Arabidopsis thaliana: one gene and its partner. The protein of the gene in region 2 interacts with the protein of the main gene of each other region in a pairwise test. Each region holds a gene or a part of one and is shown on either strand. Other genes may lie near its edges.

Region 1 (6,598 bases), on a different chromosome or scaffold from region 2:
AAGTGACTTTAACAAATTTTGTTATTTTATATTTAAATATTTTTTATGATGGATTCGATCCGCTACCATAAATAGCGTTGTCAATTTTTGCAAAAAAATTAACATGATAATCCGATTTTTACCTTTCCGCAAAAGATGAAAATGATTCACTGGTCCGGTGAAAAAAACAAGACTATTTTGACGACGATGATTATAAATGACTTATAATGTCATTAGTTTGATAGCGACAAAATTTTTATTTGCTTAACGGGTACTATGATCTAAAAGAATCTAATATGTTTGTCTTTAACAACAGTAAATGCTTCGGAAAAAAAAAAGTTCTAAATATGAAATTAGAGATTGTAACTTCCACCAAATAATCTAGATACATGTAAGAGAGAATAAGGTTACTGTTTTAATTGCCAATCTACTTCTTGCACAAATCTCTTAATTTTGTATAGAGACTGTATAGTATAACCTTCCAAATAATTGAACAAAGTTTAATATTGTCCCATGGTAAATCACCTAGTCGAAGTATTTATATCTCATTATTATGAGTTTTTGACAAATCTAGAAGTCTAGAACTAAAAGTTGAGAAACTATTATTGAAAAACGGGCAACAGTTGTAATTGTCTGCTTAAGGACCACGTAGCTTAAGTACCGTCGTGGTGTTTCTTTCATGGAGCATATCTAATTACGGTGAAGAAGAAATAGTTTGTAGTAATATTGCTGTTTCTTGTTTAAATAAAAGCATTAACATCTTGTTGTGTATTTTTACATAACATTTTTGGAACTCAATACAGGTGACACAAACAAATATATATGGTGGAGATAGTTTGAATCAAGATCAGCTCTCTGTGAAGAAATAGGAATTATATAGAACAAGGCCTCGTCCCATTCCTAACCTAAGAAGATCCCGTACATAATGTTGCTTACTTTTTGTTTTACGGACCCGATTGTACTCTCCCCATGTTGGGCGGATATGGGTAAGATGAATTGTTCAAGGACGAGATGTCACCATTTTGAGTCTCGTTCTTTGTTTCTCTCTGGCCGTACTGATTCATACCGCTATTTAAGCTAGCATAGTAGGATGACATGGGACTAGCATGAACAAACCTGAAATTGACTCCATTTGGGTGAGTTTGGTTGACAAGTTGTTGATTCTGGTGCTGATGTTCGTTGGAAGCGTGGTTAGGTCCATCAGATGAGATTCCAACACCAAGATTGAGGCTGATGGTGTCTGTTTCATCTGGTCTGAACCGAGGCTGGATTTCGTGATTGCTGCTAGACTTTGAAGTGGGAACATCATGATCGTGTTTGCCTTCGTATGTTGTTATTACAGCTTTTGGATCATGTGATGCTCTCTCCACGTGTTTTCTCACTGGGCATCCATGAGCTGTGCATTTGTAGTAGCTCCTACAAAAGGCCGAGGAACATCATGAAACATAATATCTCCATTGCGCACATGTTGAGTCTGTTAAGATCACTATCTTCCATATTCCAAACCAAATTCCTAAAAGAAGCAACACTTTATGCACATGTCAAATAACTAGGTCCTGAAGACAAGGACTAAACTGTTCTAGCTACCATTTTGAACTCGCAAGTTATGTTTATGTATGTTCATTCGAGAAAAAAGCAAGGAATTTTTTGGGGTGTTAAAAGCTTTAATGCTGTACAAACCTGGGATTTGGGTTCCCCCTTACGACTTTCTGCCCATATTTGCGCCATCTATAACCATCATCCAGAATGTCAACCTCACTCAGAGTTTGAACAACAACCCGAGGCTCCCGGATGGGTTTCACTAGTGGAGTTATTTCCATCGCACCCTCCATCCTCCTACATAAAGTTAAAATAAAGTTTTAATCATGTCAAATCACAGATTCAAATCAAGCACCTGAATCCTTTGTTAAACTCTAATACCTCCGTTTTGAGAATGGATCATCATCGTCCGGCTCATCTTTATTCCTATTTGACGCTGCCGCTTCTCCACCATCGTCAGATGCTGAGATAGGAGGTACTTCAGGGTTACCAGTTTGTTCATTGGGGTTAGACAAGTTGTAGACGCCAGATCCCTTCTCTGTATGCAGACATAAGAGTAGAAGGAAAAAGTTATAGATATTGCCAAGGGAGTAAGTGCATATTTGTCTCAAGTTTTAGTTATGATTACCATCTCGGCCAGTTGAAGAAGGATACTTGTCTAGCCTTTCTTCTTGTGCAGCCATACCACCAGAGTTTCGGCGACCAGGTTGAGGTTTAGGATGGTCATGTGTACCCTTGTATATAATATCGGTGATCTGCCCATCATGAGATCTTTCAAATAACTTTTTCACTTCACAATTAGGATGTGTACATTTATAATAGCTCCGGGGAAATTCACTCCCTTTGACATGCTTTTGACCATATTTTCTCCAGTTATAACCATCATCAGCCAAGATGGATGGAGTGCTTCCTCTGGAGTCATTTTGGGAAGTCTGGATTGATTCCTCTTGATCAGATCCAGCCGGAATATCTGAGCTCGTTGGTGTCATCTGACAAGGAGGAGTTGGCCGGCTTAGCTCACTTGAGGAACCTGCAGCATCACTGATCGAAGAAGGTGAGTGTGAGGATCCATGGCCCTGGCCTTGAAAATGTACTGGTGGCTCACTTCTAATCTTGCCAAGCTCTGCATATACCTTGAAATCAATAAAGATGTTTAGACAAAGTCATCCCCCAACAATATACAAGTAACTTATAAACTGTGAGCTTTTGGATACAAGGCTCCTTATGAAACAATTTAAGGCTGGCATGGTATTATATGTATGCAAAGGCGAAAGATTTTGAGATTTACAAGCAATCCAAGCGCTGAATAAATAGACTTCGTGCAGAAAAATTAGGTCAGCCACTGTTCGGGGTTCATATGTCGTCGACTATCTGAACAGTACATTACATGCAAAGCATAACAAACAGCATTGTTTTGGACAATACCATATTTGATGCAGGAGGTCTGAACTCAAATTCACTGGACTTCTGCTCAGTAAAGGTGTTCTGATGGAACCCCCTGCCTGTATAAGAACTTGAGCTAGCAGAAATGTGCACTGGTCGAGGCTTGAACAAAGAACCAGTAGTAGGGGAAGGTTCTGGCTGAAAGTTAAAGAAAGTGGCATATTATTAATGGCATGAATAAAACAATACATATCAGATTTTGTAAAACATGAACCTGATCTATCAATAAACATGATGTTTTAAAAAAAACAGTCTTCTAAAAACAAAAACAATATCTTGTTCAATCAAGGGATAAGAAGATATAACTAAGAGATGCAAAATAAAATTGAGCACATAGCATATAACCTATTATTCATAACTTAATTGAACAAAACGAATACTCTATAGATCTAAATGGTGAACATGCGAGTAAAGTACATTTTCTCACCAACAGAATCATTCAATAGCTCATATAAGTAAAAGGAATCCCCACACAGACGCAGCTAACCGAAACCTAAATGTACAAAGAATGGAAAAAGAAAAGAGAAGCACCAAACACATGGAAGATAGACACTAGACAGTATGAAGAAGAAACGACAAAGAGCAAGAGGATATAAATAAAGTATCCAGCACCAATAGAACATGATAAAAAAAAAAGGTTTATTCGAAAGAACAATCTGAACGGACACAAATGCAAACCAATGCAGAGTATAGTAGCACAAAGAATCAGAATCTTGGCCAAAGTCCCTAACGTAAGCAAACAAATCATAGTTTTTTAATCACTTGTAATGGACTAAGAAACAAAAATGGAAACCCAAGTCCAATGTTTTTCCTAGTGAGCAAGCAGAGAGCATCTCCACCAAATTACCAGAAATTCCCCACTAACATGAACAGTGATCCAAATCGAAATTGAAGCAACGAGAAACCGAACAAGTGGGACAAAATGTCAATGTTATGAATCAATTCCAATTCCAAACTCAGTTTCAAAATGGCACAATCCAATTTCATGAAAAATCCTTTAGGTCTTAAAAATATGAAATCAGAAAACCTAATTTCTCAAATCGACAACAAAAATGAGGTGAAACTGTGATTGCATTTACCAAAATCGAAGAAGAAGAAGAAGAAAGAGATAGTAAAGTAGCTGCTTAAACCTTGATGTTGGAGATGAAAACAGGAGATTCCAAAAACGAAGTCGGACTCAACCCAGGAGGAATCGTGATATCAGTCGACCTCGAGATCGGAAGCTTGGCCGGTGACATCAGCTTATACCTAGCACCTCCACCTCCGTTTCCTCCAGCTGAATCGTGCTTTGCCGTGAGATCTCCCGTCGCCGAACAATCTCCCTGAAACTCCTTCCGGTCATTAGCTTGAGGGTTCATTTCAGAGATTCGCAAGGGTAGAACAAAAATGAAGGAAAAAAGAAGCTAAGGGAAAGTAGAAGAAGCTCTCAGCTATGGCGAAATGAGAGAGATTTTGGTCTCTGCGTTAGTGAAGATTGTAGTGAAAGATGAAAGAACGATATTGACTTCACACCTCTCTTAATTCTTTGTTTTTCCTTTTCATTTTTTTAATAATTTATTTTCTTCTTCTTCTTTTTCTCCTTTATTTAGCTTTATCAATTTCTAAAGCAACAACAACAAACGTTAAAGTTGACAAAAACAATTAGAAGATGTAAACAATCCTCTTTTTTTTTCTCATGTACATTTGTCAAAATGTAAAAGATAAAAAAGTTAGTGTAATCAAAATTGCTTGTTTAAAGAGTTGTTGGAACCAGAAACATCCTAAATCTCAAAGTAAGAGTGTTGTAGCATTGGTAGATTGACACAGTCAGAAGCAGTATTGTTGATGATAATTAAGGATCAGGTATCAACAGTCTCAGGTCTTTTAAAACTTACCTTTTTGAATCTTTTGTGCGCCAATGATCCGTTGCTTCGACTCTCGTCTATCTTATCTTCTGCGATGTTTATCAATAGTTCAATACCGACGCTGAAATAAATGTATTTGCTGATTTGTAACAAGTTTCTATTGTGATGAGGCCAAATATCAATCGCATCATCGACAATTACCACTCTACGCTCATCAACAGCAAGAAGATCGAGTGTCTTCTCATAAGGACTTTGTTCTCTGGCTAGGACTCGATCTCCAAAGTATATTTTTTTCCGGATCAATCCACTTCAACACGGTCTGAGCGTAACTAGAATCACCCATTGTGTATACGTGCATGATGAAACGCTTGTTGGCTTCTAATAGAAATTCATGAAGAAAAGGTCGTAGCTTTATCATATATTCGCTGGGAGTGGATCTCTGTTGATTCTCCACAGATCTGACCTTGAATCAGCTCCTTCGATTAGATACTTCTGCTCTTCGGAAAGGTCCGAAACAAGTACCGAGTGGACAAGCGTGTGGTCCAAGTCAAGGACTAGGTGAAACTTCTTCTTCTTATCATCGTTGAGACAGGCCATTTTTTTCTTGTTTTGGATTTTGGTTGCAGAGTATGATTGTTGGCTCCAAACAAGTGAAACTCTGTAATCGAAAGAGAAACCCTAATTTGATCGGTGATAATGAAATTGATATGCTATGATTATGTATTATATAGAGAGGATATGTGTGAGATATCTTTGGGCCGTTCTCAGTTTCTTTCATTGGTTTAAATGGGCCTAGGCCCTTGAGTCAAATTACCTACCAAATTATGTGGGAGTTGAATCGAATTTTTTTTGTTAAAAATTTAAGCTATTGGTTTATCTTGTGGGGTAGCGGTTGTGTTCTATTTGCGTGGATAACAGTTAGGATATATAATGGTGAGTGGTGACATTCTGGATCCAAGTTGGTCCACCTCAAATCTTGTTAGAGAATTTTTCAAAAAAAAAAAAAAACATGTTTCTTTGGTTGTAAAACTTCCAAAATGTGTAAAAGATAAGAAGAATATGTGTATATATCTCTCAATACTGTTCAATGCCGTTTCAGAATAAAACTATGTAATTCTTTTCTAAACCAACAATTGTTTTACTTGTATTTTAAATAATTATCAATCCATGTTTTGATAAAAACTGATAATTCGAAAGTGGGTAACTCGGTAAAATGATAAAGCAACAGAAAATATATCATAACTATTCAAAAATATGTGACTAGTGAAGATTTTAGATAGTAATTTTTTCTTGGTGCAACACTCATATCATATACATAGTCTTGTCATTTTTACATATTAAATTTAATGTCTAGATTAACAGAAGAAATAAGGAAAAACTCGATAACTGTTTTTTTTTGGTAATTAAAAAACTCTAAGAAAATCTAGAAACGGAAAAGTTTGCATGAAAATTTCCAAAGTTCAAAAAGGTGTTGTCCCCTTCACATAACCACACCATCATCATAATTTTGATCAAACATTTGACCAAGAAAAAGGGGTGGTTTCACTATTTTAGTTTGGTGTACTTAAGATTTTGAATTATTTAAAGTTCACGATATATTGGCATATACCTCGAAGAATGGTGATCTTGTACTCAAGTGCTGGAGGAGACCTTTAATTTTTAGGAGTGAAATTCTCTTCAATTTGCAATTTTCTATTTGATCACGTTGAAGATTTCAAAAACATTTTTTAATCCAATTTTGTATGTTTGAAATTAGTCAGGAATTCGGCATATGATTAACTGCTTATACACAA
Region 2 (4,278 bases):
TGCGAAATTTATGGAACGGTCGATTTTATATTCGGGAATGCGGCTGTGATCTTACAGAGTTGTAACATTTATGCGCGTAAACCAATGGCTCAGCAGAAGATTACTATTACGGCTCAGAACCGAAAAGATCCGAATCAGAATACGGGGATTTCGATTCATGCTTGTAAGCTACTAGCAACACCGGATCTTGAAGCCTCTAAGGGTAGTTATCCGACGTATCTCGGCCGTCCGTGGAAGTTGTATTCTAGAGTTGTGTACATGATGTCGGATATGGGTGACCATATTGACCCGCGAGGATGGTTGGAGTGGAATGGTCCGTTTGCATTGGACTCGTTGTACTATGGTGAGTATATGAACAAAGGGTTGGGTTCAGGAATTGGTCAACGAGTCAAATGGCCTGGTTATCATGTTATTACCTCAACGGTAGAGGCTAGTAAGTTTACGGTGGCTCAGTTCATTTCTGGTTCTTCGTGGTTGCCATCCACCGGTGTGTCCTTCTTCTCCGGGTTGTCACAATAGATTGTCTCAGCCTTGTATGTTACGTATACGAATGATTTTATGTACAAACTCAAGATCTGTAATATAGTCCATAAGCCATTTTAAGTGTACTTATTATATGACAGGACATCTTCTTGAATGAAATAAAGATATGATTTGAATATGTTACTGTATTAGATCTTTGCTCAGATCTTACCATGTGAATATATACATTTATGGAAATATTCAATCTTTGGAAGTTATTGCAACTTTTGTGACCTTCTGCACATTTCTGGCAAATGGAACAACTCTTTTTACTTCTCTAAATACACTTTTGAATGTAAAGAAGCTATCTGGATTCTGGACCAAAACAACACACAAACCCGAAACAAAATCGAATTGAAGAAATCGAACGAACACCTTAAGATAGGTTTGAAGGGTTGGCTGATTTTGATTCAGCTACTACACATAGAGGTTATGCAAACACCAGAATCTGGATTCTGTTGCTCTTTCCAGATTCTTCCAGTGACTCTAAGTTTCAGTTCTTTCTTGTCTCCACCGGAAAAGAAGAGTGCCATGTTTCTTTGGATTATAAGACCGTCATGACTGTCTCTGACTTTCCTGTGACTATCTCTGACACTTCTTGGTGTCCCTTCCCATGTCTGTTTTCTCCCACTGCCTCCAACTTCTAAACTGTATGTATAGTTTCGTGCGTCATCTTCATCGCCCATGAATCTCAGAAACGCCATGTAAACTGGAGCCATACCGAGCTGAAACGCTTCAAAATGAAGACAAAAGTATTGACCAAAACATTGAAACACCTACAAAACAATATAACAAAGAACCCCCTCAGAATCTCAGACAACTGAAGAACTCGTAAATCATAAACAAGAACAATGCTAACCGTTAGCATCCAAGTAGCGTTCTCTACTTCGCGTGGATTAGATTTAACATAACGATGATTAAACGTACATCCAGTATGCATATCGACTTTATGATCATCTCTTAAATGAGCAACAAGGAAAGTAATGTCACCTACAGCAGCACACTCCGAGCCAGCATATGGACAACTATAAGGTCTAAAGTTACATTGAGACTCATGCTTTAGTTTACTGTAATAAGGGAAAATCCCAAGGCATCCAAGATTGTAATACTTGCACGGTAACTCAAGCGACTCAGCTACTTTCTCAAGAGCGATTATGCACTCTTGATTTACAGGTTGAACATAAAGTATGTCCATTATGACACTACAAAAGAAGAAACTTTTTCACTCATACATATATCAAAACATCCATAAACCCTCAAGAAACTCAATAGTAACATACCATAGCAATGATAAACAAATCAGATCATTTGAAGATAACGATCATAAAAATTGGAACTTTATATTCGTAAGAAGCAATAAGATCTTTCTCAACCCTCCAATGTTAGGAGATGATGAGATACGAACCTGATGGATTGGTGGGTACATTGAATTGGTGCAGACAGGGCATTCAAGGAGCTCGTAAACGCTTGTAGCCGGAGAGATTACCACGGTGGCTCCTCCCTGAGACTTGGTTGATGAGAATTGGTGTTTTTGATGGATCTCATCGTCATCGATCACGGAATCGATACTATCTGTTTCCATTAACACCAAAATTTTCGAAAATCAAAAAGTCCTAATTTTAAAAATTGGGACTTTTCTCTGTCGGGAAAATAAAAATTCTTTCTTTTCACGCAGATCAAAAGAGCAAGAACGAGAGAGAAAAGGGAAGCTGGAATTTCCCTCCTTTCTCTCTGTCTCTCTCTCACTGGGTTTCGCCAAAATTGTGCTTTTCTTCGTTGGCTTTGTTTCATCTTTTTTTGTTCTTCCAGAGAAGAAGTTTGAGGAATTAATTATACCCGTCCAGATTTAAAGCTTTTTGGTTGGATTTTAATCCGACGGTTATTAGAATCTGACACATGGGTGTTTGAATTTTCCTAATAAGATTATTTGTTACAAGAGCGTTTTCTTGTTGAATACTTTGAATTATAAGATACATCAATGAAAAGATGGACATTGCATACGATAAAAAGTTTGTTACATCATCATTTATCAATGTGCAAGTTGTGCATCCTTGTGTTTTCTTATCCAACTTTGTTTTTCTTTCCTTCATTTATGTACAAAGAACGGTAAATATTACGCATACAAAGATACATTCACCACATTTTCTGATGATGATGATGATGATGGTGGTGATCATTACATACTTGCTACAACAGATGGAATCTCTGCCTCCACTTCAGTTTCTCCATCCGATCCCTCCTTTGTCGTCTGCAACAATTAAGCCAAGCAATTCAGATAATGAGGTTATCAAACAAACCAGACAGTTGTTATCGGTTAAGTAAAAGCTCGGTTTTTACCTGTGGGGAATCTTTGGAATTGGTTTCAGAGAGATACCGAGCCAATGCTCCTTTACCACGGAGAATCTTAGCTCCAGAGCCTCGACGCCCTTCTCCTTCAACTGCTTCTTCATCCACCACAACCGCTTCTATCATATCGCTGCCTGTACCCTCGTCCGGAATCTGAGAAAAACAAATGTTTTGCAGAAATGTGAAAAGAGTTTGAATACGGATTTTTAGCAAAACGGATTTGAAAGTAATAAGAGGTGTATTTACCTCGTACATAGAGTCCATGAGGATGCTTTCTAGAAGAGCTCTTAAGCCACGAGCACCCGTGTTTTTCGTTATTGCTTTTCTAGCTATAAGCCGCAGTGCGCTTTCTGTGAAATGCAGCTTTACCTGAAGAAAGAGAAGATGGAGACTTGTCTCAAGCTTTGGAGCAGAAGGAGAGAGATAGAGATAGAGAGATTAGTAGTTACACTATTCATCTGGTACATCTTTTTGTATTGCTTTCCAAGAGCGTTCTTGGGTTCTGTCAACACCTGCAATCCAATGATATTACTGCATATTCTATGAACATGGTCTAGTAATGCAAAAATCACAATGTCACATATTTATGTCATTCCTAGTACCTGCATAAGCTGGTTCTCAGTCAAAGCAGACAAACTGACGAGAACTGGAAATCGTCCAACAAATTCAGGAATCAAACCATAAGCAATCAGGTCACTGCTTTCCACCTGCAACAGCAAACATCTCATTTCAAACTTCGATACAAACCAAAACAAGTAGAAGAACACCCAACATTTGGTGAGTGAAGAGATGAAAAGACCTACAGTTTCCATTAGGTTTGATGCAACAGCGGCGTTTGTAACACCACCAGCCCTCATGTTGGCACGTACAGGAGCACCAAACCCTATTGAAGAATCATGGCGCCTGGAACCAAAAAAAACACACTCATATGCTTATAACGCAATTCAGTTTAGAGGATAGAAACAAAAAACGGAGGAATTTGAAATATGTTCATCAGTCAGACCTCTCTGAGATAGTCTTTTCAATGTCTACAAAAGCACCACCACATATGAAGAGTATGTCCTTTGTGTCTATCTGTAGATAGTCAACAAGACCGCATGTAAAAAACAGATGATTTACAGGGGAGACTACTAATCAAACTTAAACAAGAAAACAAGAAACCATGTCGATTACAAATTTTAAACCCTAACACTCCAATCACCATGCAAAGAACATTAAATTGGAAATCTCTTTTGTCTACATAATCAATAATATTAGAGTATGATAAAAATATTGACATTTCACGATAGAACAAATACATATGCATAGCCTTTGTTGTTTGTGCAAGGTGCAAGCCAGAACATACAGAGTAGAGTGAAGCACGACAAACCTGGATATTGTCACCTCTAGGGTGTTTCCTAGCGCCTTTCT

The links.
Region 1: the proteins of AT5G53360 (region 2) and WRKY20 interact in a two-hybrid assay, tested with the Arabidopsis thaliana proteins (one large-scale study listed by BioGRID).

What each region holds. Positions count from the first base shown.
Region 1 is NC_003075.7:13,436,375-13,442,972, forward strand, and holds WRKY20 (WRKY family transcription factor family protein), read right to left. Parts: upstream 4,623-6,598; 5' UTR 4,320-4,622; coding exon 4,092-4,319; exon of another isoform or gene 3,401-4,091; coding exon of another isoform or gene 3,389-3,400; exon of another isoform or gene 3,100-3,388; coding exon 2,944-3,099; exon of another isoform or gene 2,652-2,943; coding exon 2,147-2,651; intron 2,057-2,146; coding exon 1,900-2,056; intron 1,816-1,899; coding exon 1,660-1,815; intron 1,396-1,659; coding exon 924-1,395; 3' UTR 631-923; downstream 1-630. UniProt on the Arabidopsis thaliana protein: Transcription factor. Interacts specifically with the W box (5'-(T)TGAC[CT]-3'), a frequently occurring elicitor-responsive cis-acting element.
Region 2 is NC_003076.8:21,645,924-21,650,201, reverse strand, and holds AT5G53360 (TRAF-like superfamily protein), read right to left. Parts: upstream 2,380-4,278; 5' UTR 2,105-2,379; coding exon of another isoform or gene 1,928-2,104; intron 1,827-1,927; exon of another isoform or gene 1,725-1,826; 5' UTR 1,718-1,724; coding exon 1,382-1,717; intron 1,299-1,381; coding exon 933-1,298; 3' UTR 635-932; downstream 1-634. Other genes in the region: PMEPCRF (pectin methylesterase PCR fragment F), read left to right, coding at 1-519; CLPX (CLP protease regulatory subunit X), read right to left, coding at 2,699-2,770, 2,860-3,021, 3,115-3,237, 3,318-3,380, 3,471-3,575, 3,672-3,771, 3,872-3,942, 4,238-4,278. UniProt on the Arabidopsis thaliana protein: E3 ubiquitin-protein ligase that mediates ubiquitination and subsequent proteasomal degradation of target proteins.